2 linked regions of the Astyanax mexicanus genome follow. The protein of the gene in region 1 interacts with the protein of each later gene in a biochemical or structural test. Links are inferred from orthologs where the notes say so. Each region holds a gene or a part of one and is shown on either strand. Other genes may lie near its edges. The genes, in order: arhgap1 and bnip2.

Region 1 (12,845 bases):
CCACTGTCAGGAGGGAGAAATGTGCAGTGGCAAAATGTGGTACTGACCTTAAAGCATGCTTCACTCAAAGCACTGAACACCCCAAACATAGATAATATAGCAAACTGTGAAGGGCTTCATCTGTTTCTTATATTAAGCTCAGTCTTGAGGCATTAAGTATATCAGTAGTTAGTCTTAGTCTAGAGTTTTCATTGAGAATTTTATTTAATAAATAATAAAACATTTAGTAATATTATATTTAAGTTCCTTTATTGGTTTTATAGCAGCCAGTGATGTTTTGAAACTTAATATTATGCTGCTTTCCATTTACCGTTTACTGTATTGGGATGTATAGCTAAAAATGACCTTACACCCTGGTTGACTGGGTTCCAATTAAACCTTTAGATAATTTCTATTTCAAAGACTTTGGTGTAGAAGTTAAACAGTACTGTGTGTACAATTGATAAAATGTGAGACAACTACTGTAGATACACAGTTCTGGAAAACATTAAGAGACCACTTTAGTTTCTGAATCAGTTTATCTGATTTTGCTATTTATAGGTATATGTTTGTGTAAAATGAACATTGTTGTTTTATTCTAAAAACTATAGAAAACATTTCTCCTAAATTCCAAATAAAATATTGTCAATTTGTTTGAAGAAAATAAGAAAGGACTAAAATAACAAAAAAGATGCAGAACTTTCAGATCTCAAATAATGCAAAGAAAACAAGTTCACATTTATAAAGTTTTAAGAGTTCAGAAAAGTTTTCATGCATCTTGGCATGTTCTCCTCCACACTGCTTTAGGATAACTTTATGCCACTCCTGGTGCAAAAACTTAGCTTGTGATCATCCATCTTCCTCTTGATTTAATTAGGTAAATCAAAGAAACTCATAATTTTTAAGTGGTCTCTTATTTTTTTCTTATTTTTATTAGAGCAGGAAAACTTTTGGGGACATCCAGGTATAGATGTAGCTTAATTAGATAGAATGTAGCTTAATTTCTGTCACAGCTTGGAAAGAAAACATGTTGTAGGTTTTATGTAATTTGCACATTTTTATTGTATTTTTTATTTTGTTGACTATTATTATTTAGTTTTTGGCTTTAGTTTTAGTATTTTTTTATTTAGTATTAAACATATTTACATCTCCTGTAAATACACTTAAAAACCATTGAAAAGAACATTTCTGTCAGTTGGATTTGTTTCTGTGATTTTGTGCAATAAACCATAACTTTAGTCTATAAGTTCAACCAGTAGAAGTGGTATATTTCAGCTGTTCCCCTGTTCCGCAGGAGAGACCTTGCAGCCAGTTCCAACCGTCAAAGTGGGGACTATAGAGGAGCGCTATGCTAAGACCAAATGTATTGCTGGCAATGGAGAAACTTACACTGGAGATCTGTCTGTGACTCTGGGTGGCCACACCTGCCTGGAGTGGAACTTGCCTAAGGTGAAGGCTTTGAGTGTGGGGAAGGAGTTCAAACCAGATATACAACTAGTGAAGAACCACTGCAGGAACCCCGATGGAGATCTGGAGGGACCATGGTGCTATGTGAAGAGTGCTGCTGGAACCATCACTGTCGATTACTGTAACCTAGAGCTATGTGGTGAGCAATGGTACTGATAAAAGTGCTTTTATTACTGGTGATCACAACAAGAAGGTACACCAAATTAATGCTGTCCATTTTCTCAAATTAACCTCACACCCATTTTTTTATATTGCAGTGTGATGCAGATGTATAACCCTGGCTTGTGTCTTGCTATGATTATTTAAAAAATGCATATTACACTAAATACACTGCAAATGTCTACTAAAATATTAAATTAAAATATTAACATTTTTTTACTTCTCAAACAAGATGTCTTCTCTCTTGTCTTTAAGATGCTCCCTTGGTAGGGATGGTAGAACAGGACTCTGATCGGAAGAGGACCACTACAGAGAAAAGAACTGCTTTCTTTAGCCCTCGCAGCTTCGGCCAAGGAGAAGAAGGTAAAAATTTTAGCAATAGCAGGAGGTGTATTTATTCTCAGTTCACTATTTTTTAGAAGGGCCCACCCGGTATTTAAAAGTACTGGTCACTTTTCTGTCCATGTAAGTATAACCTGATATTAAGTTCATGACATTTGTTTCTGTTCCTTAAAATTTGCATGTCAACATACTAGATGCAAGGTTAAGGCCCTTTCCCATTTTTCCCTTGGCCGTGCCACTTAGTGTGTCCTTATTCTTGTTAGGCGGTAGAGCGAGTGTTAGGGCAACATCATCCTTCAAACTGAAAACTGAAAATCACTGACAGGTGAACACATGCATTTATCTGCAATTTAAGAGATACAGAACCAATATCTCAATAAAAAGAAGCATGTCCACACATAATAGTAATATTACAGGATTTATGCGGTTTGCTTGTGACGGCTAGGAACCTTTCTATGTTTGGGGTGGTTATGACTGAGACACCATTCTCCCTATTGCAAGTCATTGTGCAATCAACAGGATTTTGTTAAAATGTAATACTCTTCTAAAATAATAAATACATCTTCGAAAATGCTGCTGAAACTAATGAATTTTACAACATTAATAGCGGTATTTATATAGGTTTTGCAATAGATGTACTTGTTTTGCACAGCTGACATATTTTAAAAGATTTGAAACCAGCTTAAGCTTCGATTACTTTTGTTAAATAATTTCTCTGTTAATTATTTTCAGGGATCATCTCAGTTAGATCTGTTCATCATCTTTTTTTTAATGGCTAAAGTCTGGCTCTTCTTATATCATTTCATTTTGTCCTTGTGTCTGATTTTAGAGTGTGGAGTGCGCCCTCTATTTGAGAAAGTAAGTAAAGCAGATGGAACGGAGGTTGAACTGCTCAAATCATATTCTAAAAGAATTGTGGGAGGTGTTTCTGCTGAAGTAGGAAGTGCACCATGGTAATTACAGTTCATATCTATTTTTTTCTATATTTACCTATTTGGTAATCTCACAGTACATAATGATTTTATTGTAAGATGTGTTTGTAATGTGATTTGATCCACAGGCAGGTGATGTTGTTTAAGCGTAGCCCTCAGGAGCTTCTGTGTGGAGCCAGTTTGATCAGTAATGAGTGGATCCTCACTGCAGCTCACTGCATTCTTTACCCACCATGGAACAAGAACTTCACCATTGATGATATTCTTGTTCGCCTTGGAAAACACAATCGTGCTAAGTGAGTTCCTTCCTAATAAAATTGTAAAGCTATACACTGTATGCACAAAAATATTGGGACACCCACACATTACACCTACAGAAGCCTGTATCACATTCTATTCTAAATCAAAATAAATTAATATTGTTAGTCCCCCCCTGTTGCAATTCTAACAACAGGTTTGGAGCTGTGCAGTTACTGAGTCAGAAAAACAATGTGTAATTTTACATTTACACTTCAAAACACATCTATATTTCAATAATTCCACACACATTTGATCATGGAATATCTAGAAGGATATCAACTTATTACAGTATCAAGCTGGAATTCAATTTAGAGCCTTTCACACCCGCCCATTCTTTTAGAAAAGTTTATAAAGGCAGACTCCATTGATAGGTGCTTAATCGTATACATCTTTAGCAGTGTGACTAAATAAAACATCTGAATTCATTGATTAAGACGTGTGTCCCACTACTTTATCCCATGTAGTGAAGGTAAAGTAAGTCTGTACAGACCTTGATTGTTTTCTTTATAATTCAGGTACGAGAGAGGTACTGAGAAGATTGTGGCAATCGATGAGATCATTATTCATCCAAAATATAACTGGAAGGAGAATCTTAACAGGGACATCGCTCTGCTGCACATGAAGAAACCTGTCACCTTCACTAATGAAATCCACCCTATCTGCCTGCCCAGCAAAAGTGTCGCAAACTTGTAAGAAAACCTTTCTTTTGTAGTGTGAGCTCTATATTTCAAAATAGTACCTGCAAAAATACCAACTCTTTGTTCTGTATATAGATTGATGTCTGAGGGCTTCAAGGGTCGTGTGACAGGCTGGGGGAACCTGAAGGAGTCATGGACATCAAACCCACAGAATCTGCCGGCAGTGCTGCAGCAGATTCACCTGCCTATTGTGAACCAGGACACCTGTCGCAAGTCTACCTCAATCCGTGTCACTGACAACATGTTCTGTGCAGGTGAAGGAATGAAATCCTGTGTAATAGTGAACAAAAAGTACCACCTTCTTACTTTAACTTACTTCTGCTCACAAATTAAGAGTTCAAATCTCATTACATTCGTCCCAGAAGAAGCTGAAAATTTCTGCATTTCAGTAACAACATTATGCAGTTATTCACATCATTACAATTTTCAAATTTAACCTCAAAGAATCAGAACATTTCAATGATAAACATTACAATGACCGTTCAGTAGTTAACATCTCAAACTTAATATTCTTAGGTTCCTAATATTTTAAAACCATTATTAGAATTAATATTAGTCTTCTGTCATTGCTGAAGCATCACCAATCTTGTACTTGTGCATTATTGAAGGCATATTTTCTTATTCTGGATTTTTGAAATAAGCATTATGTTATTTCTTGAAACAAACTAAATTATCTTACAGAAAAATAAAAGACAAATTCACTAGCTACCATTACCTGAAACAAGGATATTTTAACTGTGTACAGAAGTGTGTAATTTAAATAGCATTAATTGTACTGTAATTGTGTGCTTTTCTTTTAGGTTACAGCCCAGAGGACACACAGAGAGGTGATGCATGCGAAGGAGACAGTGGTGGACCATTTGTAATGAAGGTAAGAGGATGATTATTGTTAATGCTATTCTTTTCACATTTACAGACTTTCACTGGGGACTTCTATATAAATCATTGTTTCTATATGAGTACATTAAGTTACTTTTGATTGAAATCCTACATACACTCTTACCATCTGCAGAATCCTGATGACAATCGCTGGTATCAGATTGGTATTGTGTCGTGGGGTGAGGGCTGCGATCGGGATGGTAAATACGGATTTTACACCCACCTGTTCCGCATGCGCCGCTGGATGAGGAAGGTCATTGAAAAATCAGATTCTGCAGATGATGACTGATGTCCTTATGAATATGCAAGAGCCAAATATGTCTCTTTTTGGGATTTGTCCAACTGAAATAAAAGTGCAAATAAAAGTTGATTAATCTGAAAGTGGTATGTTTTTTTCTTAATAAAAGTAATAATAATAATCCCATATTTGCCAAAATACAGAAAGCTAAAATATAGGGAACAGTTTTAAGTTTTAACATACTTGAACTGAGGGTTTAACTTTAAAACTTGGAGAAGTGAACTTAAGGGTTTGAAATTTCATGGGTATGTTTACATGCTGAGAGTTGATACTTCTCCTCAGTAAAATTTCCTGTTACTTTTCTACTGAAGTTTTGGGTTTTGTGTATCATATCATTGTTGTAATAGTTTATTCATACTTGTTTGTTTTTTTCTGTGAACATTTAACGTGATTAGTATAAGTCAAGTTAGATATCCTTACAGTATTACAGAGTTAGATATGTGCAGTGATGGTATAGTTACTTTGAAAAAGTAATCCGATTACTGATTAGTCCTTTAAAAAGTAACTTAGTTACTTTATGGATTACTTGATTTTAAAAGTAACTAAGTTACTTTACAAGTTACTTTATTAGTTACTTTAAGCAGCTGCACACACCACGTCCCGCCGCCTTAACATAAAAATTATAACCAGTTTTGCCAATACTCCCTTTATTCGAAAAAGCATTTTTAACAGCATCAATGTTTCTCTAGACATTTAAAGTTGAACTATTTCCTGAAAAAATAAGTTTTTTATATAAAAATAAAAGACCATTTATCTTGAATTAACTTAACATCAATATTTTTTTTATAAAAAATAAAATATGGTCTTTCTTGATTTCACTTAACATAAATACTTGTTTTTATAAAGAAATATAAAATATTGAAAGTCTTTCTTGACCTGACATATTTAACACTGTAAAACTGAACATTGAACCTGTTGTTCTCTGCAGGGCAGCAAGGAGTGGTATTATAAAACAGAACCGTGTATATGATCGAGCCCAGGGATCACATATATGCGGACTGCGGTCCGGATCCGGACCCAGACGTTGTTCAATGCGGACTCAAACCGATAAACTACTGAGAAGGATTTAATTTTGACAATGTTCATTTAAAGCGTCTGAACTTTTCTTGTCTTTACGGTATACACGCTCTGCGGCACGGGAAACTTGCAGACCAATCACGTGTAGTGTAAATCTTCAAACACTCTCCTATGCCAATCAGATCTGTGCAGACCGCTGCCCTGGCTAGTGAATTGGGACGCGGCCGGGAAAAAACGCCTTTATAAAGAGATAGGGAGCCCGAGAACTGGCGGAAAAACGAGAATGGGAGGAAACTAGACACGCCGAGCGCGAGAGAGAGAGACAGGGGAGAAAGCGAGATGCGTGTGATTGGGGGAGAGCGGAGGTGTGTGTGTGTGTGTGTGAGGTGGAGAGAGAGAGAGAGTAACGCACAGTGACTTGGATAAGTAACTTTAATCTGATTACTGCATTGGAAATAGTAACGCGTTAGATTACTCGTTACTGAAAAAAATGAGTCAGATTAGAGTACGCGTTATTAAGTAACGCGTTACTGACATCACTGGATATGTGTACAGTAGTAGCACATACATATGTTTTTAAAAACAGTAAAGGATTAAGCTGTCATTAATAAAATCCAAATAAAAAAAAATTGAATTTTCCCTGATTTCAAATTTATGCAAACTCAACACCCACCCATAATTTAATGTATGTAATAATAATCCCTTATTCGCTAAAATACAGAAGATTTAAATATAGTAAACAGTAATTTTTTAACATGTGCCTTGATATAACAATGTAGTTGCAATATACTGTGTATGTACAGTCCTTAAAAATTATAAAGGCCATTTAAAAGTTCTGAGTTTCTTTGATTTTACCAAATTGAAAACCTCTGGAATATAATCAAGAGGAAGATGAATGATCAAAATCCATCAAACCAAGCTGAACTTCTTGATTATTATTTTTTTTACACCAGGAGTAGCATAAAGTTGTCCAAAGGCAGTGTGTAAGACTGGTGAAGGAGAACATGCCAAGGTGCATTAAAACTGTGATTAAAAACAGGATTATTCCACCAAATATTGATTCCTGTACTCTTTAAACTTTATGAATATGAACTTGTTTTCTTTACATTATTTGAGGTCTGAAAGCTCTGCTTTTTTGTTATTTCAGCCATTTCTCATTTTCTGCAAATAAATGCTCTAAATGACTAAAAAACAATGTTCATTTTACTCAAACATATTCCTATTAATAGCAAAATCAGAGAAACTTATTCAGAAACTGAAGTGGTCTCTTTTTTTTTCAGAGCTGTATATCCAAAAATATCCAGATGCGTCTAGCTAGCTAGTTAACTTAAAGCTTTAGTATGAAATTTTGACCTTTATAAAAAATATCACTTTTCTGCCTTTCAGAAGTACAGCTGATTAACTATAAATATTTGAAATATGTATTTATTAGTGGTGTTTTGGACCTGTATCTCAGGAGAAAGCCGCAGTAACTGGAGCTTTTATGGTGAAATGTGAGGTGACAGGCTGCAGCCGGAAGCCCTGCTTGAATTAGCTTGATTGTCAGAGTGGAGAAATATTCAGTCAGCGGCTCCGAACAGCAGGTAAAGCTTTTCGCTTTCATTTCTTCATTAGGAGCGGGTTTCTGTGTGCACGGGTTCCTGTTTCAGTATACGGTGTTATTGTTCGTGTAGGGGAGTTAAGATAGTGTCGAATTTAACAGGACTGAAATGTGCTTTTTAACCAGGACACCAAAACAAGCTGCTGGCTAACCCTGTTAACCTGCTAGCGCTGGCTTTAGCTTTAGTTAGCTTAGCTTTTCGGGCTCGTACTGCTGAGAGACTCATATACAGCGCTATGCTGTTGATAGAGATAGCCCGTCTTTACTGCAGTGAGCAGTGTGTGGACGTGGGTGTTAAACAGACTCGCTGAAATTTTGACAGACAGCGTCCGCTAGCTAGCTAACTACTGTATATACGTGACACAGACGATTTTTTCGGCCATAGCGTTTAACCTAGCTAATCTAGTTAAATAGCTAACCGTTAACAAACACGACTGGGACGCCTTGTTTTTAAAGCTGTGTTACCAAGTTATCTAGCGTTAATGTTAGCGTTAACTCTGTGGACGAGGCTCAGTTATAGACAAATTAACCCGGGGTTAGACAGCTAACCTAACCTAGCTGCTGGTCTACTTGAACTTCATGGATTTTCAGCGACTGACTTCAGATGGTCCCACTTGTAACTAGTTAGGTTAGCTAGCTAAAGGATAAAGTTTATTTGGGTACTGGGTAGGTTTATGCCTGTTAACTAGCTAACGTTACATAGTTAAGTTGGATAGTTAACGTTAGCTAGCTAAGCTAATCAGGAAAACAACAACAACACTATCAAGCTAGTGTTAACTAACTAATCAACTAGCTACATGTTTAGCTAAATTGGCTAGCTAAAAAATATGTTTATAATTAATAAAGTAAAGAACTGGAGAGTGCAGTTGCTGCAGTGTCTGGGTTATGGTAACCCTTTTTATAAATCGTATTGGCGTTGGTAATATAACCTACTAACTAAAGGTAACTAACTGCCTGTTATTGACTCAGTTTCCCTAGCTACAGAAGGACAAAAACGTCTTAAATATCTGTTGTTTGTTAAATAAAAAATCGTGTACAATGACACTGCCTAATTTGTGGATCAACAAGTAAGTTAGCTAGTTAGTAAGTGACAGTAATTTCAGACACTGAACATCGGATAAAGCAGGCCACGGCTAAAATTAAGTTAGTTTTCTAGCTAAAGGTTTAGCTAATAATGTAAGTTAGTTATGTTTATATTCTGTTTGGGGCTAAATTTAAAACCAGAATATTAGGTGTAAAACATGTATTTTTTAAATGTAGCTACTATAGTGAAGATGAATTGAGTTTTCATCCCATATTTGTAGTTTTTAAATTCTGCCTTTTGCTAACAGAAGTAATGTTCTCTTGATTTTTATATTTTACACATTGTAACAAAATTCTGATGATAGAATTCTAACTCTGAATCCTAACTCTGAGGTCCAGAAATAAAAAGCTATATAAAAAAAAAATTAAAACCCATTTCTTCTTTTCATAATTGACACCCAATTTTCTGCTTTTTAACTTAACCTCAAACAGTCAGGAATTTGAAATGGGGTAAAAAAAAAATACATTATTTTACATACTAAACTTTATATTCTGAGGTATTATTTAAAGTATTATTATAATAATATATTTTTCAAAGTCTTTTATCATTTCTGAAGCATCAAAATAACAAGAAGTACAGTGTTTAGCCTGGCTGCTAATCTGTCTATAACTATAACCATTAGCTTTTTTGCTATTTGCTTACTTTTAAAGTGTACATGAATTTTGAAGTCAGCTTTCTACAATTATGTGACCTTACGTGTACCTGTGGTTAATGACCAAGCAGTGTTTTCTGATAGCTGCCTTATCAAAGTAAACCTATCAGATATTTGCCGTCCTGCTTGTAAAACCTTCCTGTGTTATTTTGTTGCCTCCTTTGATAGAAAAAGGGTGGCAGTAGTTTTTTTTTTTCTTCACAGCTCTCGGTTTTCTTCTCACTGTCAAATCACATGATGTTCCTGAGAGCTTCAGAACACACACACACATACATACACACACAATACTCCTGACCACCTAAAAAGTCCTTACTGGGCGTTTTCATTCACTGATAGCTGGATGACTCCTAGATGAAAGGGACAGAGATGTGAAACTGGGGCAACAGGGAACACAAGGCTGTTTTTACAGTTCTCAAGTGTTAACACTTAATTTAGAAACAACACAGCACTTGTGGGTCCCATTTCTCTAAAGTAGATCAGAAGTGTCTGTCGAGCATGCTGTGGGGCTGAACTGCATCAAGGACTGAGGCTGATAAAACAGACCTGAAAGAATAGCAGTATTTGTGCTTTAAAATTAGTTGTGAAATGAAAGAGAGCAGAGCATGGGATGTGCCAAAGGGTGGCAAGTGGCCCAAAAATATTGTGAGAGAAAAAAGATTTACATTGTTACATTTACATATCAACTATCGCTATATTCGTATATTTCCAGGTTGAACTGGAATTGCCTTAATATGATATGGATGTGGTGCATGAACTAATACATATACGATATGTATAAGACTTGTGGGCATGCGGCACAAATGTGAGCAGTCAGGTCAGATTATATGCATCTTTTTCTTAGTGCACATGCATTTGGGCCTGTTTCCAGCTATCAGCCAGAACCAGTGTTGAGAAATTCCAGAATCTGTATTCTGACCGCCTTTTACATGCATGAGGTATTAACACCACAGATTATACTTGTGATTTATGACATATATTTAATTGACAGCAAACAAAAAAAACAGAGTTACAGGGTCAATTTGGATAAACATTTTAGTGTGCCATGCTTACTGTTTAATGGACAGGTTTGTTCACATTGGACAGATACATGTTACTCACATTTATGAATGTGAATTGTGAAGATCCAATCTGAGCAAAAACAAATAGAAATTGAAAATATAGCTTACCACAATTGCCATACACTATTGCAATTTTGCCTCTTTCTATTTTATGATATAAAGAATCTCAGTATGTTTAATGAAACCAGTAGGATCTAACCAATAATGTAATGCTTGTGATAAGCGTTCACCATTCTCGCCTTGTTTATAACTGCCTGTGCAGAATAGTGCATGAGAAGAAACACACCCTTCCGTCCCTTCACGCTTCCCAAGTGCAGCCTGCTGTACCTACTAAACCTAATGGCCATTTATTTTTAGTTGCAAATGTTCCCCCTTTGTCTGGTGTTTCGCCACAGAAAGTTGGTGTTGAAACTTTTCTTTTATTAGACCAAGGAAGCAGTCATGCACAAAGGGTACCCAAACAACTGTAGACAAACAGTACTTCCTGTGCTCAGATCTTAATGTTGACATAATGCTAGTGGGTGAAGCACATCAGATAAAATGTATGGTGCACCTTATTGCAGCATTGTAGTCAGAGTTTGGGTTGACTTATATGACCAGAGAATTAGTGTGATCAGGATGTTCACATCACATTTTCTCAATCACAACTCCCCAACTCATTACTCAACTCCAACTATACCAGTATGTTCCAAAGCACAATGATGGAGAACTCTGTACCTACCGCTCAAGTTCACACCTGGCATTAGGCATTGTGCCAACAGGTTCATGTTTGTCTGCTCTAGTTTGACCATTTCTATTGGCACTTTTTTTTATACAGAGACTAGGCAAGATTTTTGTGCCACTTAAAGTAGCCGAATGCGTTTATTTGGGTGTCCCTAAACATTTGGACAAAATTACATTACAACATTACAACAGAATGTGATTTTACTGCTCATCTTAGATTGTTAATCGAATGGCTGTATTAGCATTTTAGACATTGAAACCCATGGTTGCCACTGGTACCATTGAAAAGAACTCTAAATATGATGGCGCATGTTAAGGATAAGAATTACTGCATAATTTTCTGCATTTAAAGCTGTTCACCATACGTATTATAACTCTGCAATCTGAGAGTAGCCGGTTATAGACCAGCACCCTCTTAATCTGAAGATACTGCAGTCGTGCTCAGGCAGTCTGTGGTGCCAGTTGGCAATGGCAAGATGGTAGATGGACTGCGTTTAAGTGGCACTGATGTGTGAAGCTGCTGTTTCTGCTCAGCTGGGCAGCCACTGAGCCACAATTCTGCTCCCTCCTCTGCATGCCCGCGATATATAAAGAAAAGAAATGTCACAGCAGATCAGTATCTGAATCCAGCAAGCGCTCGTGCTTTCAGCCTTACGGCCAGAGGCATGCACATACTCACGCTCCTCAGATTTAAAGGGGCCTTAACTCATTTTACAGCAAGACATTTGCAGTGAGTTGATTGATTACACTGTTGTTTGTGATGATCAAAAGCTAATACCATTCTATACTTAAAATAGACAAACAGGGACTGTTCTTAACCTTATATCGGTGTTTTTTTATGCAGTAGACCTGCTACTTGCATTCTTACCTTGTTAGCACTTATCACTTTGTGTGGTTAGATGTGTGATTTGGGGCGAGAATAAGCAAAAAAAGCAGCAGCAGCAGCAGTTTGTGGTGAATGATGTTGAGCACAGCAGTGGTTAGACTGAGAGAAACAGCGAGGTGACCTCAAGCCAGCAAAGACATTATTAGCTTTTGGCTCAGAGAAAGCTTAGAATAAACACATTTCAGTAATGTGTGTCTGAAATGCCAGCTGTGTTTGTCTGCCTCTGCTTCTTCAGATATTGAAAGTACATATTTTTTGTGGCTAGGACAGTGTGTGTTCGTGTTTGTGTGAATGATGGCTTGACAGCTGTCAAATGGAACAGACAGATGGGTCAGTTTGTATGGGCATGTACATTTTATAAACGAATGTGTATGTATATAATACAGTAAGCCTGAATGTACATTTCTTTGTCTCTTGTGCCAGGTCCTTGTGTGTGGTGTTTTTGTAGAGGACCATCATGTCCTCGGATTTGCTGGTGGACCTGCATGATGATCTGGGTGGAGATGACTCTCCCAGTGCTGCCCTGGACCAGCTCAAGCTGGTGCAGGACAAACAGTGGCCACCTGATGACCCAGTCAGCTTCAGCAAGTCTGGTGAGTGTTATTGAGATATTGGCTTTTGCGCTCCAGAAAAGTTAAGAGATTTCAAACCTTATCATTCGGGGCCACTCCTCATCCTGCCTGGTGATGGCAATACATTTTTTTCTATTGATTTTAAAGGTTATTATGCTAAAAGCAGTGACCCAAATTGTTAGGTTCGATATTTGGGAGA
Region 2 (11,897 bases), on another chromosome or scaffold:
ATCCAATAGGCTCGTCGAGAATAAAGACAAGAATCAACAACAGAAGCCTTAAAGTGAGTCATAGTTGCTGCTCCACCTGAATCATAGTGTTGTGCTAATTCTGAATTGGCCTATGACGTCAAGCTGGCTGCTCTATTACCTAATATGGCTTCTGCATTTAAGAGTCTAACAAGCAGAGAATTAGGGCTTAGCTTATAGAATATAAAAATTGCTTAACTAAATTCAGGCAAGTGTACTAGCACAAACAGGAATTTGTATGAGCCTCTTTGATGTAGTAATCCCAAATATTTCTGCAAACAAAGTCTCAAAGTACTTTATGAACAACAAAATTTGCTTACAAGTTAATAAAATATACCAATACATCCCCCCTATACTGTGACTGAAAAAAAGAAATGTCACAAGAAATCTTTTCATACAGCTTGAAATGCATTTAGTCTTAAAAACAAACAAAAAAACACTCTGGGTCATTTTTCTAAAGCAGGGATCAACATATCAACAGATTAGTAGTTCTTTCGGGTTTAAATCAAAGCACAGTTGCAGTCGACTATTTGTAGGACTTTTTGTCTGAACCATGTTGTTTAAAAGACTCACAAATCTGTTTCTGAACAACGAAGGAAGACTAAAGTAAACAACAATACACTGATGTCTGGAGCAAAAATAGGCTGGCAAATAAATTGAATGATATCATTCCTATTTTCCTTTCCAGCAGAGCCAAGTCAAGGCAATTAACACACTTGAGAAAAAGATTAGTTGCACAAATAATCAGGATTTAAATGTGAACAAAGATCCTGTTGATGCTACACTGTCAGAATTAAATCCATATTTTAGCCACATGCTTTATCGTCAAATGTGTCTTGAGTTGATCAGACAAAAATCTGATCAGTGTGTGACACAAAACATGCAATCTCGCTACATTACTACTGACGTTACAGTTGCCCTGAGAGGTGTGTTGGTTGATGAATGGTTTGAGTGAATCTTTAATTAATATTAAGTGTGTTCACACTTGCATTTTTAAGTGGATTGGCCTTATTCAGATATAATCCTGAGATCCAAAGACGCATGAAGTGAGCAGATGAGAACAGCATCAAAGTAAATTTCAGGTTCACTCAGACCCTGTTTACACCAGGTCACTTCATGCAAAAAGTATCTGGAGTGGATCCAGATAAAAATTTAACCAGATGCATTTACACTTAGTGGTCAAATGCATCTCTGGTAGCTGGACTGAAATCAAACTGCTGTGTGGAATGGAATATACAACCCATATGCTTATTACAGGGCAAATGGTTGTTCATACATTTAGCGCTTCCTGTGCAGCGCTAAACATTGTTTCCTAACTGGGAAACTGCAATTTTCCAATGCCATTACAATGCCATACTCCATTCTTCAAAGTTAGGGGAAAGCAACAGCTTCAGCAATCAATTCTTACAGGCAAACAATCAATCAGACTAATCAACTCAGAAATGCACTGCATAGGAAGAAGTATGGATTGTTGAATGAGTCTTAGAGACATGTGTCTATAACATGTGGCTTAAAAGCTCCTCAGAAGTGTTCAAGTGATCGTATTTGTTTCATGTTGTTTCAAATGTCTCTTGGATGCATTTACACTTTTATGTGGCTTAGCCATATACAGATACAAACCCGATTTCTGATTCTCAGGAGAAATGAAGTGACCAAGAGGTAAACATGTTCTTAGACTTCAGAGCTAAATATATATATAGAAGAATTACATATGTGCAAGCCATTTCCTGTCTTTACATAGCAATGATAAATGTTAAAAACCTTTCATTCTCCCTGCCACATATGATTTTATAGCACTGATACTGTGAGCAAGAAGTCTTTACTATTAGAACCATGTTATTAATGAATATATCAGTATGATAACATTAACATGTATACACACACAGAGAAGATAATGCAACAGTATGTATGGTTCCTTAATCATGAAATATAATTAAAAAAAAATAAGTAACTTTTCAATCAACTCCCAGACTCGTGTTTAAATGCAGCAGTGCATGAAACAAAGAAAATAAGGCATGAAGCCATCTAAGGTATTTAGCCATTTCAAAGGAAGTCACTCAGATGTGAGTGTGGGGGACCACACAAACACTAGTTGACTGTCGTGCACAGCTAATTGCTATGCCATCTGTGTAGTGTTACTCTTGCTTTTCAAGGGGGACGTTTGTAATCATTCACACTAACCTTCGCAACCGACAAGAGCCCAGAGTGCTGAGTAAGCACAGTCAATAAAATTAAACAGTCCAAGACCCCTTGGAAAAAGGGAGTTTGATATCATGTTTTTTTTAGAGACACTACGGCTTTTGATACACAGTATTAAAACAGCATCATGTAGCTTAACTGTGCAGATTTGAGTAAATGGTCTGCATACAGCACTATCTTTAGAGAGAAGGACATCAGACTTTAAACACATTAATTTTCATATGTTCAAGAAGACAACAAAGCAACTGACAGTTTTACAGTGTACTTGTCAATGTCTGCACATTTGTCTGGGATCAAGTTGTTTACCCTTTGAGAGCTAGGGGGGTGGGGAGTGGGGGTTGCACTGAATAGCTGACTTCCTATTTTCCACTGAAAGCTGTCTTAACCTAAAATGACACCAGCGAATGCAGTTCTACCTCAATTTTTAAAGTAAAAACTAAAATTAAAGATTTGTGTGTAATTTTCACTTGAAAATTCTCATTTCACATATCAGCTATTAAATATCTAATAAGGTTACAATTATAGAATAAAATTATTCTAATTACTCACTTCACATATCCTATTTACATGGTATTTGATATTTGGAATTACAGTTTGCAATAAGTAGAAACATATAGATTTCTGAAATCTAGAGTTTCTATTTGCAAAAGTTACATTATACAAAATGTAAACAGTTTTACTTGTAAAAAATGAGTTTTTAAATCTATGTTTATGCAAACAGTACAAATTGTAAACCCTTGTATATCTAACCTATCTAGTTATGCTCTCTGAATGTGTTTCTTTTTATCTTGTTTACCTCTGAAAAAAAAAAAAATAAGAGACCACTTTTGATTTTACCAAATTGAAACACTCTGGAATATAATCAAGAGGAAGATGGATGATCACAAGTCATCAAATCAAGATGAACTGCTTGATTTTTTGCACCAGAAGTGGCATAAAGTTCCAAAAGCAGTGTGTAAAACTGGTGGAGGAGGACATGCCAAGATGCATGAAAACTGTGATTAAAAGCCCAGGGTTATTCCACCAAATATTGATTTCTGAACTCTTAAATCTTTATGAATATGAATATATGCTGCATCCTTTTCACAAATAATTAAAAAGATGCAGCATATGTTCATATTCATAAAGTTTTAACAGTTCAGAAATCAACATTTCTCTTTTACTGCAAAAAAATGCTCTAAATGGCTATTTTTTGGAATTTGGGAGAAATGTTGTTTGTAGTTTATAGAAAAAAAAACAACAATGTTCATTTTACTCAAACATATACCTATAAATAGCAAAATCAGTAAAACTGATTCAGAAACTGAAGTCGAATCTGTAGTTGACGGGACACTTGCTCGCCTCAGCTCTGAAAAGGTAGTCGGGTTAGCTTTTAAACTTCAACCCCGGAGGCTAATAGCGCTATAAGTTACCTTCCATTGTGCTCCACGGGTGAGCTCTGTGCCTGTGGTAGTTTAACAGGACTCGAGGGCTGCTGGGTCCGTGTCCTCTCCTGGTTTCCTCCATCGTGCGGAGCTGCAGTTTCCTGTAGCGGGTCTCCTGTTTTTGTGGGCCTGTTTTGGGCTGCTCTGTCCCCGTTCTCCACAGACACCACGGCGGCCTTACTCGCACCGTTTCCCGGTTCAGACGGTGACGAGTGGAGACCTGTCGGCTTGTTTTCCAGCGTTTCCAGTGTCCTGGGTGTGTCTGACTCGGAGCTGCTTTTGTTCATAATCACAGCGGCTGTAAGGTTACCACTTTGTTTTAAGCCTCCTTCACCCTCAGTCACATCTGTGGCCATAGGGGGTGGACAGTCAGGTTAAAAACGCAATTAACTAACTAGCTAACCTACTGAACAACAATAATAAAAACCTCCTTCACCAAGCAGTGCGTGCCCAGTGTGACAACTGAAGCCCAGCAACAGACACAGACAGCTAGGGGAGCTAGAGTAGCTAACGCTAGCTAACTAGCTGGCTAGCCAAAGTCAGCGAAACAACTCGCACCGTACAAATAATCAAATCTTCACCCACCTAACCTAACGCTACTCCTGCCAAACATCGAGCCAGCCGACTTTAACTGTGTAAACTTAGTTAGCTAAATACAAACTACTTGGCAACCAATTTGTGTAACAATAGCATAGTTCAAGAACTAAACAACTCTCCAAACAAACTTCCCGAAAAGTGTCTCTTCCAGTCCGCTCCGTGGCCCCGCAGTGCGCAGGCTCCCTTCTTCCCCTCCTTCCTTCCTTCCTATCGCCGATCCACAGCACAGCCCAGCCCGGCGCTGACTGACAGCAACAGAGCAGCGATACACACTCAAAACCCCGCTCACCGAGACCCACAACACCTCATTTCACACACCCGCTCTCCGTCTACACAGTTATGGTACCCAGTTAACCGCTGTCTGACTCTGAAACCTCTCTAAAAGTCTGTCAGGAACATCATTTCCTGACCGTCCACCGCAGCAGCTCCGCAGTTTCAGGGACTCTCCGGTATAACGCGAACTCAACTATACAGCGCAGTGTTTTCACCAACTCCCCACTGCCGCACTTCAAAACAAAAGTCCTACAGCACATGGAAAGTATGATACTTTTTAAATTTGATTTGTTACTTGCTGCTAATAAGTCACTCTTAATATATTTAAGTATTGATATTTAAGTAATAAAACACTCATTTGCAGGGATCTGGTATGGATTCAAATAATTATTGAAAAGCGATATGTTTCTTTACCCACTTAAAACCATTCAAATATTTTATGCAGGTGATTCAAATAACTGTTACTATTACTATTATTAGACAAATTTTGAATCTAGCATATATTTAAAAATATGGAAAAGCACCCACATACTATTTTGCGTTATTTTGACGATTCGAATTTTCTTAAAATCGTTTTAATCAGTTCTTAGAAAGATTCGAATCTTCAGAAAAGTAGTTTAAATCAGTTTTCAAAAATGATTCGAATCTTTAGAAAAGTAGTCCGAATCAGTTTTCAAAAAGATTTGAATCTGTAGAAAAACAGTTTGAATCAGATTTTCAAAAAGATTAGAATCTTTAGAAAAGTAGTCCGAATCAGTTTTCAAAAAGATTTGAATCTGTAGAAAAACAGTTTGAATCAGTTTTCAAAAAGATTAGAATCTGTTGAAAAGTACTTTCGAATCTTCAGAAAATCTTTAGAAATCTTTAGAAAAGACTACTTTTCTAAAGATTCGAATCATTTTTGAAAACTGATTCGAATCTTTAGAAAAACAGTTTGAATCAGTTTTCAAAAAGATTTGAATCAGTTTTTTTTTTCAAAAAGTTTCGAATTTGTAGAAAAGTACTTTGAATCAGTTTTCAAAAAGATTCGAATCTGTAGAAAACTAGTTTGAATCAGTTTTCAAAAAGATTCAAATTTAGGTTGAATCTTTTTGGAATCTTTTAACATTTTTTACTGTTAACTCCTCATAAGGGGTTGGATTCAAATAAGTTTAATTTCTGTATGTGTAAATTCAGTGTATATATCACTACTCCACTCCTTACACATTTTAACAGGTGAGTGTAGCCTTCAAAATAAACAAACCAACATATATTTGGTATTTATATATTTACTGTTTAAGGTGGAAGGAACACTTCTAATAAGCCAGTGTTGGTGTAATTGTGTGAAAATAGAGGCAGCTTTTAAGGTGGCACAGAAACATTGAAGAATTCAACTAATCATTTGACGAATAGAATTAAAAAGGGAAAAATGATCACGTTTAGACTGCTGTTCCCTGCGAAATTTTTCAGCGTTTAGAGCCCTTTAGCACTAACTAGTATTATGCTAATATCCGATAGCGTGCAGCTTCCTGTGGTGCGTATTCACATTTCATAGCAGAACCAAAAATTTCCCCTCTGTTTTGCAGTTTACAGGGATTCCTAATATTTGCTCTGGGATGTTATAGCAAGCCAATGTTGTCTGATAACATTTTAGGAGCCGCCTAACTCAGTAAATAGCTAGCACTTTCAAAGGTCTGGAAGATGTTTGGTGTTGTGCTTGTGTGCTTGTCGGTTCTCTATTTGGGTGCTTTTCCATTTTATGTTTGTATACTTGTATACAGAAAAACTGAGACATAACCATTTAGTTTTAACTTTTTGTTTCATTGTTGTTTGCTAAACTGGGCATATCTTCTTTAAACGTTGTTAGCTATCCAATTTGCTTTGCTTTCTCCCGTTATCAACAAAATCACTTAATCTATACCATGCCATAAATATACAGCTCTGAGACCACTTCAGTTTCTGAATCAGTTTCTCTGATTTTGATATTTATAGGTATATTTTTTAATAAAATGAACACGGTTATTTTATTCTATAAACTACAGACAACATTTCTCCCAAATTTCAAATAAAAATATTGTCATTTAGAGCATTTATTTGCAGAAAATGAGAAATGGCTGAAATAACAAAAAGACACAGAGCTTTCAGACCTCGAATAATACAAAGAAAACAAGTTCATATTCATGTAGTTTTATGAGTTCAGAAAAGAATATTTGGTGGAATAACCCTGGTTTTTAATCACAGTTGTCATGCATCTTTGCATGTTCTCCTCCACCAGTCTTACACACTGCTTTTGGATAACTTGATGCCACTGTATTATTATAGTGGTTTCATTAGACAGTTCTTGATCTCTAAATTGCTTGTGCATTTAAATCACAGCTCTTGGCTTTACTGGTTGCTAGAATGTAATCTTGGTATAAGTTCCTATGCATAGTCTTTATCTGTTCATCAGGTTAGATGTGGATGATATGCCAGAAATATAGCATCTCCATAGTTTAGGAAGCATTCATACAGGATACACAATGTTTTACAATAGTGTAATTTGGTATAGAGACAGTGTCTGCACATTTGAAAGTACTGTAAAGCACATTGAGCCCAGAAAGCTTTTATTCAACGTTTTACTCACTTCACTGCTTTTAAATCCATTTAACCAGAGTATTTGGTGCTCTCTTTATCATAACCATACACATTATTACTGAAAAATAAAATCAGAAATGCATAGTGTGCCATCTTGATCTATTACATTTAAATTAAGTTTTTAAACTAAAATTAAATAGATTTTATTTATGTTGCCCAGCGTTAGATATCAATCAATACGAGTCTGTTTAAACTGTAAAGTTTACCAGTGTGTGGCAGTGTTACAACACAGTTACCTTTTGCTAAAAATTCCCATTGAGGGTCTGTGTCATCACGTACTCCCCACTAGATGGCAGCATTTGACTAAATAAATCAGAGTGTCTGTTCTGACTGTTTCACATACTGTAGTTTATACTCGATCATCAGTGATTATAGTTGGCTCAGTATCAGTAGGATAGATATCATGGTAAAAAAAAACCACAAAATAAATTAATAAAAAAACATTTTATAGTAAATAAATAAATGAAATGATTATAGGAATAAAGTAAATGAAGTAAAAGGAAATTCTTATCACTACTATGTAGTATTTAAGGTGTTGCATCAATTTCAATTCAGAAATAAAATCCAGACCTGCTAACAAATTTACCAGAAATTGTTTAGATGGAATTAAATTAAATCATTTGTTTAAAAAAATTGATTATTTTTAATTTAGTAATTTTTAAATTAATTACTTGATTAGGAACACATATATCACATTGTCATATATATATAGTCATAAATATAATTACTCAACAGACAATTCTGTTCAGTTTAATTTATGTATATCAAATCTACAGTGATTCTCATATCACTGCAGAGTTTTCTCCACTCTCCACTCTTCTGTCACGCAGCACTCCGGTGGCCTCCAACAGTGAGATAATTAGGTGAGGACAACAACCTTCAAGGCATAAACCAAGCATGCTCTTGCGATCCAAACATAACAAAGGATTAGATGAAAATGGGTGTAGAAACAGACTAGAGTATATCCAAGCTTCCATTTTCTTTTTACTAATTCATTAAAGGTCAGCATTGTATCTGCTTTAATTTGTAATTTCATTAACAGTTAATTTGCATTAAACCAGAAATAAAGGGAACATGCAAGATATTGTACATTTTTAAAATGATGTATAAATAATGTAAATGTAAAAACATGTATTAAAGTACTTAAAAAAGTACTTCAATGCAACAAAACAGCCTTTAAAAAAGAAGATGCAACACAAAAAAACAGGTGCACACTACTGCAAATATTCTATCATCCCTTAATTTATGTGTGTGTGTGATGAAATCTATGATTTATTATTCTTGTCTTATTATCAAATGAGCTTCGTTCATGCTGCATGATGAGAACTAGCAATTAGGGTATGCAAATGAGCGAGGACTACAGCAAGCGTTCTGTAATTTCTTGACAGATGAACAAAGAGAAAAGTGCACGGAGCTCTTATGGCTTTGCGTCTGTATTTTTTAATCTTCCTGCATTTACTGCCTCATCATGCCCTGGTAGTGCTTTTACTAATGCATAGTTCAACTCTACTTTAGAGAAAGAATATTTTGATCTGGGCATGGGTGCATCTTTTTTGTGATTTTTTTTTGGCTAAACCAAACGTTGTTCTATAACACCCTGATACCTCAACTGTGTGCTTAGGATCACTCTTTATAATCTCTAATTAACACGCTGCTATTTGCACTGTCTGATCAAGCGTCCTCGCTAACTAAGAGATAATCCGATCAAATTGAAAGTTTACAATACCTTTTCATCTCTCAGTGTGCTGGTGTTTGCCTTGGCTTCATATTGGTATAATTCACAAATAGAGGCCAGTGTAGACTTTGAAGTCCGGGGGGTTGCATACAAATGTGTCTTTCCAAGTTCTGACACAGTTATTCAGTTATCCGGTGCGTTGGATTGTTGGCCTTGCCTTTCTCATTAACTAAAGCAAATTTACTTACTGAAGCACTGATGTGCTTTGAAGAAGATACAGCAAACAGTGGTAGTGATAGTAGATAACAGAGGCTCTGTGATATTTGTAGATCAATAGGGAAACCAGCGAGACCCCACCTAAGCTAACAGTGTCCAACTCTCTAGTACATACAGTGTACTTCCTTTATTTAATGAACTGACCTTTAACTGCTTAGACCTACATACAGCAAATACAATTATTGTATTTCCAGACTACTGTGCAGTAAAATATGTGTATGTGTGTTCTTTACAGATGCTACCTTGTACCGAGCTGCCTCTTGTCAAACATTTGGAGCACTGGAGTGTGTGTGTATAGATGTGCGGTGGAGAGATTGAGAGACAGAAAGAAAACAGATGTTCCGTGGGATTTGATTCACTTGACAATGGAAGTAAGTATCAGAGCCTCTCTCTCTCTCTATTTCTCTCTCTCTTTCAGTTAGTGTTCTAAATTTTTCAAAAGCAAACTTTCTTTTCACAGAGTCGGGGCATGAGTTCTGCACCAAAATGTTTGATGTTCTTCTCATCTGGAGCAGAGCGAGATGCAGTGAGTGCTTAATTTATGAGGACATAACAAGGAAGCTATTAAGCAAACATATTTCCCAGCTTCAACTGGCATGAAAGAAGCACTCAGGGCAAGAAAGCCAGTAGTTTGGTTTTCAAAAGATAATTGCCTAAATGTTTACAAGTAACTGCTACTAAGAGATGAAATTGCAATAACAGCTTTAAGAATGCATCATCCAGTTTTGAAGAAAAAAAAATACCAAACAAAAACTGTCTGAAATGCTTGTGTGAAACACACAAATGTACAAATGTACCTAGAGTGAAGGTGACACACAATTTTGAAGGGAGGGTGCTCCGTTTTGTTCTCTTTTCTTTCTCATAGAAATCTCTCTTTTTCTTTCTTTTTCTTGAATAACAAGAGGCTATAACCCATTTGTGCACCAGTATGGCAGAATAGAATATCCAATTTCCACAAGTGGAGCAGTGGGAAGTATTTAGGCTACTTGAAGTATATCTCTTAATGAGAAAAGACAAAAAGGAATCCATGTGCATGTTTTATGCAATCTGTTTCTGGGTGCACATGAATAATTATTTATGATCGCGAAGCCCTAAAAGGAAGGCATGGAGCAAGAGAAAGAGAAAAAGAACCTGGTAAAAAATTTAAAAGGAGACGTTAAATGAATATTTAAGGGAAGATGAAATATTTAATGGAAACAAATGAGCAAAACATTTAAAGCAGCATGATAAATAATAGTGGGTTTCGTAAGGAAATCGCCCTCCCCCCACTACACACACACACACACACACACACACACACATATGCATGCATGCACACAGATACACTTCTTTGGGTGGAATCAAACAAGCAATCACTGGACACAGTTTTGCCACAAGGCCCTCAGAATTCATGCCACGCATAGGCTGGTGTCTGATCCCGGCCACGGCAATTTGTTTTCCATATGGCAGTCGTTAGAGGGGTTCGATGGGTCTGCAACTTAGCATGCGTGGCCTGGCACATTGCAGAGGAATATTAGCTTTTTGTCCAGAGCCGTTTGGATGGATGCCATAGGCCAGTCAGGATTTAATGCCTCCGCTGGTCTACAAGTCCCGGGCAGGACGTTGGCATCGGCAAATGGGAAAGATTATATATATTTTTTTATGCCAGACGAGGACATTACATTAGGAAACTAAATGAACTCAGAAAAGTAAAGCATAGGGTATAGTTCAATTTCACACAAAAAATAATATATATATGTATATATATATATATATATATATATATATATATATATATATATATATATATATATATATATATATATATATATATATATATATATATATTCTATTTCAAGACATTGTCCAGAATTCTTATTCATTCATTCATCATAAAATTCTGTGTATTTTAACATGTTATGTACACCTTTATGCTATGTTCTATGCATTGATTTGGGGGGCGGTGGGCTTGGATTGAAATGGTTTGTTTCTTCTAATGTTGTGTTTCTCAGAAAATCTATAAACAATATCAGTAACAGCTGCCAGATTCCAAATATTTTAAAACAGCAAAGACAGAGATGAGAAAGTATTTGTTTATAAGTACAGCTTTAATAATACATTCTAATTCTTATTTCCTCAGGATAACACTTATGATGTCTATCTTCTGAGTAAGGCTAAACACTGGCCGTTGTGCTCATGGCAAGTCCATGTAATTTTTCTATGTTTTTATGCGGCCTGATAGTGGGTGCCAGATGGATAGGACACTCAATCTCTGAAGATGTGCAGACATCTAACATTTCTTGATGTGTCTCAAGTGTAATGAGAATGAGAAATTGAAGGCATTACTACCCACAGTGGACAGGGCAGTGGGTAGCAATGATTATGTCTGGTGGCATCTGGCTATTATTGTCACATCCACGATCCAAATTTGAAATTGCTGTAACTCCAACTAACTGTCGTAACATTTATATATATGTTTTTTATGTTGGTAGTTCTATATCATTAAACAAAATTCTCAGATTTAGAGCATGTTTTGTACTGTACATGTACTGCCACTGGCTCCAGCAGTGCCTTTACCAGCCAGGCTTGTTTTCATGTTGAGTCTAGTTTCTGAACCCTAAAGGCTGCTGGTGCATTTCTGATTAGTACTTATACGCAAGTCATCTGAGCTTTAGGGAGCTGCGGGGTTACTGCAGATGTTTCCTTGACAAATCCACTTTACTCATGGTCTCCAGCATCAAAATCAGGGTTTTTCAGAGGTTTGACACTGGACACAAGACTGGAGTTTTTCCAATCAACACTTGAAGTAATTAGTACACTACTAATACTAATTTCCTTTACTA

Evidence for each region.
Region 2: the proteins of arhgap1 (region 1) and bnip2 form a complex in vitro, tested with the Homo sapiens proteins (2 studies listed by BioGRID). The link is inferred for Astyanax mexicanus from reciprocal best matches to the Homo sapiens genes ARHGAP1 and BNIP2.

What each region holds. Positions count from the first base shown.
Region 1 is NC_064430.1:14,454,995-14,467,839, forward strand, and holds the start of arhgap1 (rho GTPase-activating protein 1), read left to right. Parts: upstream 1-7,552; 5' UTR 7,553-7,654; intron 7,655-12,497; 5' UTR 12,498-12,531; coding exon 12,532-12,667; intron 12,668-12,845. Other genes in the region: f2 (prothrombin), read left to right, coding at 1-39, 1,274-1,585, 1,861-1,968, 2,777-2,900, 3,008-3,175, 3,695-3,868, 3,953-4,131, 4,678-4,748 and 1 more. UniProt on the Homo sapiens protein: GTPase activator for the Rho, Rac and Cdc42 proteins, converting them to the putatively inactive GDP-bound state. Cdc42 seems to be the preferred substrate.
Region 2 is NC_064409.1:57,085,257-57,097,153, reverse strand, and holds the start of bnip2 (BCL2/adenovirus E1B 19 kDa protein-interacting protein 2), read right to left. Parts: upstream 4,711-11,897; 5' UTR 3,998-4,710; coding exon 3,630-3,997; intron 1-3,629.